Linked DNA regions of Xenopus tropicalis. The protein of the gene in region 2 purifies or fractionates together with the protein of the main gene of each other region. This does not show direct contact. Links are inferred from orthologs where the notes say so. Each region holds a gene or a part of one and is shown on either strand. Other genes may lie near its edges. The genes, in order: prkd1 and hdac5.

Region 1 (2,552 bases), on a different chromosome or scaffold from region 2:
ATTAGGCAGATTTTTTTATTTGGGTTTACATTCTTTTTAGGTCCAATATCCATTTATAATCCAGCCTCCTGACCACCTGGTATATGTGTTTAATCATTCACCTTTTGCTTTTTGGGAAAATATTTTACCTGCTTTTAGTTTGCATCCCTGTCCGAGGGATTTGGAATTTAGTAGAATGGATACGAAAAACTCTACAAAAATAAAATTAACTTAAAAAATTAAAGGCTTACTTTACCTTTAAACCATATTTTTTTTGAGTCCCTAAACTAACTCTGTATAACCCTCAGAATAACATACCTTTCTCCCTGCATGCAGATTTATTTTGTTTCTCTTTTACAAGCAGCTGAACATCAGTTCTTTTACTGGCTAGTATGAACCTCTGCTCCCTTTTGCTTTTGAGCCCACCCTTCCTGCCCCCTTTTGCCTTCTGAGCCCCTTTCTTTCCAGTAGTGGGCAGTATAATATCTTTTTCACATTAACTAATGTCCATTTAACAGAAAAAAGATAGTTATGGCACAGCTGGCTTGTGTTATGGCTAAGAGACCCATAGGTAAACCATATAGTAGACCTCAATGTGTTCTTTGATGTGGTGCTTACCTGTAACCAGGGATGGTTAAGAGTCTTGTCAACACTATAACGTTTCCTCATTTTAACCTGCAGCAGGTTGTTAATCAGATCGATAGCTAAAATTTAAAAAATAAACAAAAAATGTTTAAAAAGCATTTATGAGATTTTTTTTTAAACCACACAATGATTATTATGAACCCACTTAGATGGAGATTTTCCTCTGAGACATGCTGAGACTGTCATAAACATGAGGAAAAAATCTCTAAAACAGCACTGACATATTCAGAGATAATATCTGTCAGTTAACCTCAGTGCTCTCAGACACATAAGTTGCCCTGACAACATAAATGCGGCATTTCCCCACAAAAGATACCATACAGGAAAGGTGCACTCATTACTGCTTTCCTGCAAAACCTCCTATCTCTGGCACATCTACTGCTAAACTAAAAGCTTAATAATAAAAAATGAAGACCAATTGCAAATAGTCTAAGAATAGCACTCTCTACATTATACTAAAAGTTAATTTAAAGGTCAACAAGGCCTTTAATCCACTAAAAGAAAACACGCATTTGGATGGTTTGGGACTAAATTTGAAATAAATGTTCACTAAAACACAATGTTTTTGTGCTGGACTTTTCCACAAACAATGTGTTCCTGAATAGGATTGGTGGTGCTTAATTATCCTGTCCATCGCTCACCTACTGATTAGGGGTGGGGTTTTATTACTATTTAAGCTTTGTTTTTTCACTGTGTGGTTATCCTGACGAAGGCAGACAGTGCCGCCCGAAACATTGTTTTTTTGTGGTACATTGGCATAATAAATGGGGTAAGCTCCCCAGCTGAAATTTTGTTTGAGAGCAGTCTCTATTTCTGCTTTGTTCTATACATTGTTGGGGCGCTGCCATACGTCTTGGAGACTTTGCACCACAGAAAATTGCCTGAGGTGAGTGCAGCTGTGAATTTTTTTTTGTTTGCTACATTTGGACTAAATCAGCCTGTTACCAGTTATGCCAGTGTATGGCTTACAACCCAAGAGGTGACAGGAGTCTCTTTGCCAGTGGGCCTAAGTGAACCATAATAAATTTAAACAAAGTCTCTTGTTTTTTGGAGGAGTGTATTTTTAATAACTTTTTTCTCTTGTCCTAGTTCTATTAAGGCCTCAGAATGTCTTCACTATAACCAGTTCTCATCCTTGCTTTATCTCCATCTAACTCCATCAACTAAACATGACATTTATGCATTCAAATAACCTTACCATCAGGAGAGATTTCTTTCCATGGGTTTGGAGGGTACATAAAGGCAGCATTCTGGATCTGGTCATGAATGTCTTCATCCTCATTAAAAGGGAAAGTTCCACTCAGGCTGACATAAATAATGACCCCCACAGACCACATGTCCAGTGAGCGGTTGTAGCCACGGTTTCTCAGCACTTCGGGAGCCAGATAGGCTGGTGTGCCTACAACAGAACGCCTAAAAGACTTCTCTCCAATAATACGAGCAAAGCCAAAATCACAAAGCTTCACCTAAAGGAAAATAAAGAAGGATTTTTAACTTACCGGAAAATCCTTTTCTAGACGGCCCGTACTGTCAGTGCAGACACCATGGGGTTAAGTATTCCCTTCCGGAGGCAGGACAGAAGAAAAAAGAAACTTCTCGGCTCCACCCCCTCCCTATAAGCTGGGGCTTACTGCACTGACAGTACGGGCCGTCTAGAAAAGGATTTTCCGGTAAGTTAAAAATCCTTCTTTCTCTAGACTGGCCCTAGCTATCAGTGCAGACGCCATGGGGACGTTCTAAAGCTGTCCCATATTTTGGGTGGATGCTGGGGAACCTTTGTTCGCCCCATATGTGACCAGGAAAGCGTCCGCCTTCCTGTAGTGTCTGGACCTGTGCAGATAGAATTTAACTGCCCGTACAACATCTAATTTGTGGAGTGCCTTTTCCTTTGAGTTAGTGGGATGTGGGCACAAGGAAGGAAGATTAAT
Region 2 (3,825 bases):
AAACCCTGGTGTGTAGCCATGGGGGCAGCCATTCAAAAGAAGAAAAGGCACAGGTTATATAGCAGCTAACAGTTAAACCCTGTAGAATACAATGGTGTCTTATCTGTTATCTGCTATGTAACCTGTGCCTTTTCTCCTTTTTTCCAGCTTCAATGGCTGCCCCCATGGCTACACAGCAGCTTATTTATATAAACTATAGTAGTGTTCCTGAAGCAAACACCCCAGTTTTACCAGTGCAGGGCCACAGTACGTTATATTTCAATTACTTTCATTTCTTGGTGTTACTGTTCCTTTAAATATGAAAAGTGTTAGTGAGCCACACAAGCATGATATAAGTTCTTTGGTGATGCTAAATAAGGACTGTGATTGGCTATTTGGTAGCCCCATGTGGACTGCTGGCCTGCAGGAGGCTCTGCTTGGAGTAAAACTATGTCTCTGTGCACCTACTTTAAGGCCATTGGGAGCAACATCAAAGGGAGTGGTTGCCCCCGAGCCACTGGTTGGAGATCACTGCTCCAGCATTCACCCCAGTCTTTTTGAATTTTTGCAGCAACAGCAGGAGATCATGGCCGCTAAGAGACAGCAAGAGTTGGAACAGCAGAGAAAGCGTGAAAGGCAGAGGCAGGAAGAGGCTGAAAAACAGCGACTGGAGCAGCAGCTTCTGATTCTGAGGAACAAGGAGAAGAGCAAAGAAAGTAAGAGGATTAAGGAAAGGGGATACAATTAAGCTAGGGGGCAAGGCAATATGATCAGAAGCTGCAGAACATTCATCTTATTTAGAGACATGGTGCTTAATCCTTTACTAGTGTGTAATCTCTGGTTTTTGTTAGGTGCTATTGCCAGCACAGAGGTGAAACTAAAGCTACAGGAATTTTTGCTCAGTAAGTCCAAGGAGGTACCTGGAAATGTGAACCATTCCATCCTACAGCACCCCAAGTGCTGGTAAGTGAGAACTAGAAGAGGTTTCTTGCACTCCTGAAACCTGCTTTATTCCTCCTTCATACTACATGGTATTCGCTGCTTTCTTAAGTGCTCTTCCCATCTTTATTTTCTACTTCTCTTTCCATCTAATTCTCATCTTTACTTGCACTGTCACCTCAAGTACCTGCAGTCTACTCTACATCTTCATCTCTCCTTTCCTTGGATTTTGTTACTTAATATGTTCTCACCCTCTCCTCCTCCCTTTCCCTTAGTATCTTGCTCTAATCTTTGCAACTCTGTGCCTTCTTGCTGTATTTAACATGTAGCATTACCCCATTATAACTGTATTTCACTATTTTATATGTACCAAATGTTCATTTACCTTATGGCCTCTCATCTGTTTTCTCATGGCATATCAGTGTCCCATTCTTTTGTCATAGGGGCACGCACCATACCTCACTGGACCATAGTTCCCCTCCTCAGTCTGGGTCACCAGCAACTCCCCCATCCTATAAGGTATCCCTCCTTGCAACCTGCGATGGACGTGATGACTTTCCTCTCCGCAAAACTGGTTAGTATATCCAACTTGGGTTTTATACTGGGCACCAGAGAAACTGAGGGAGAATGATCAGTGAAGAGTTTGAGGCTAAGGTTTATGTGTAGGATGTTATTCAAAATCTTATTATGTTTTCCTGCAGCCTCGGAACCTAATCTTAAGGTCCGATCCCGATTAAAGCAGAAAGTTGCAGAACGTCGGAGTAGTCCTCTGCTTCGAAGAAAGGATGGAACTGTTATCAGTGCTTTTAAGAAAAGAGCCATTGAAATCCAGGGTATGCTGGAACTGATACAATCTTTAAGCAACTCTTTACTGCTACTCTTTGCTGAATTCCTTCTACCTGCACCCACATATTTGCCTCTACTTATCCTTTATATATTGCATTCCTCACCCCATACTGCTCATACAGTCACTTTAGTTCTACTGCACTCCATTGCTTTTTTTCCTGTTCCCCTGAAACCCAAGTCTCATCGCTGAGATGTTGGTGCTCCTCCCGCAGTGTCTTCGGTGTGCAATAGTGCCCCAGGATCTGGGCCGAGCTCGCCAAACAGCTCCAACAGTGCCATATGTGAGAATGGACTGACTGGCAGCGTGCCTAATATTGCCAGCGAGGTAAGGGAGGCCTAGGGTAAAAGTTGTGGGAAAGATGTGCATGGAAGGCCCGGACTGGCAATCTGTGGCTTCTGGCAAATGCCAGAGGAGCTGCTGTAATATGCAATAGAAAGTGGACTGGTGGGGGGCTGTTAGGGCTTCTGTGTACATAGAATGCCAGGGCCTATTTTGACTACCAGTCCAGACCAGCATGGAAGCTGGAAGAGGTGAGAAGGGTCAAATGACTGGATAGTTTAAATAGTACAAGGGCTTCTGAACATGGTGGGTGAAAATTGTTTTGTGTTGCAGTGGTCACTACTTAACCAGTGACAATATTGTACTCTAAATTCTTTAGATGCTTCCTCAGCAGAGAGTTCTGGCTCTGGAAGGAGCGGGTGGACCTCTCGGGTTGTATACTTCTCCATCACTGCCCAACATCTGCCTGCAGGGGAGCACCAGCAGCCTAACTGTGAGTAGCCAGACTGAAATGGAAGTAATGTTTACAGTCTGAGAAAACCTTTGCACATTTACAGAGGGTTTTTAGAAATGTATCATTTCCAGGCATGATGACTTGACCTTTACTACTTCTAAGGTTCTCTCCTCAGGGTCAGTTTAGCCCCCAGGAAGGGGCAGAGCGTCAGAGTCTGCGCCCAGGTGGTCCCTTCATTAACACCTCTCCACTGCCTGCCCTGGATGGGGGTGAGATAAGTACCCTGACGGCACCTTCTCTCCTACAGCATGTTCTCTTACTAGAGCAGGCTAGACAGCAGAGCGCTCTCATAACAGGTGAATATCTGCTTTTCTTTTCCCTTTTCCTTTCAAGGTTTCATTTTTCTCCTTTAGTTTTTCTATCCTTAAATTCTCTCTCTTTTCATGACACCCGGTTACATTTTCTTTTCTTCATTCACCCATCTTATTATAACCTGACTTATTTCCTCAAGTTTCCTAACTTGCTTTCCTTCCGTCTTATGGAATCAAATAATATTTAGACTTTCCTTCGTCAGTCAAATTATTTTTCATTACTATTAGTTATTCTTTGTTGCAGTCCCTCTTCATGGTCAGTCCCCCTTAGTAGGGGGAGACCGAGTCTCTGGTTCCCTACGCTCTGTCACCAAAGGCACAAGGCATCGTCCCCTAAGTCGTACACAGTCCTCTCCTCTCCCGCAAAGTCCTCAGGCGCTTCAACAACTGGTTCTGCAACACCAGCATTACTTGGACCAGCAACACCTCAACAAGGTTTGTATAGACCACTCAGGACCTTAGCTTAACTGTGCAACTATGCCATTGCTCCAGAACTCTACATAAGCTTGATATAGTGCCATTATTCCACAATATTCCTGCCCTGTGTCTTAAACGTGGAGTTCTCTAAAAGCTTCTTGTTCTGTATTCCCATCCCCAAATTCTCTGCAAGCTTCTTCTACTGTTTCCTCAATGTGGAGCTCTCTAAAAGCTTTTGTTCTCTACTCCTATCCCCAAACTCTCTGCAAGCTTCTTTTTCTTTGTCCCCAATGTGGAGCTCTCTAAAAGCTTCTCAAAGCTTCTTAATCTTTACCCCTGTCCCCAAACTTTATGCTGACTTCTTCATCTATGTTCTCAATGTGGAGCTCTCTAAAAGCTCTTGTTCTCTACCTCCATCTCCAAACTCTCTGCAAGCTTCTTCTACTGTGTCCTCAACGTGGAGCTCTATAAAAGCTTCTCCTAATGTATTCCCATCCCCAAACTTTTTGTAAGCTTATCTAAAGTGTTCCTAACCCAGA

Evidence for each region.
Region 1: the proteins of hdac5 (region 2) and prkd1 purify together in Homo sapiens (affinity purification with western blotting; 4 studies listed by BioGRID, with this or other methods). This does not show direct contact. The link is inferred for Xenopus tropicalis from reciprocal best matches to the Homo sapiens genes HDAC5 and PRKD1.

What each region holds. Positions count from the first base shown.
Region 1 is NC_030684.2:112,872,130-112,874,681, forward strand, and holds part of prkd1 (serine/threonine-protein kinase D1), read right to left. Parts: intron 2,091-2,552; coding exon 1,823-2,090; intron 684-1,822; coding exon 598-683; intron 1-597.
Region 2 is NC_030686.2:18,407,352-18,411,176, reverse strand, and holds part of hdac5 (histone deacetylase 5), read left to right. Parts: intron 1-550; coding exon 551-695; intron 696-830; coding exon 831-942; intron 943-1,361; coding exon 1,362-1,492; intron 1,493-1,619; coding exon 1,620-1,751; intron 1,752-1,976; coding exon 1,977-2,089; intron 2,090-2,423; coding exon 2,424-2,537; intron 2,538-2,673; coding exon 2,674-2,854; intron 2,855-3,113; coding exon 3,114-3,304; intron 3,305-3,825. UniProt on the Homo sapiens protein: Responsible for the deacetylation of lysine residues on the N-terminal part of the core histones (H2A, H2B, H3 and H4).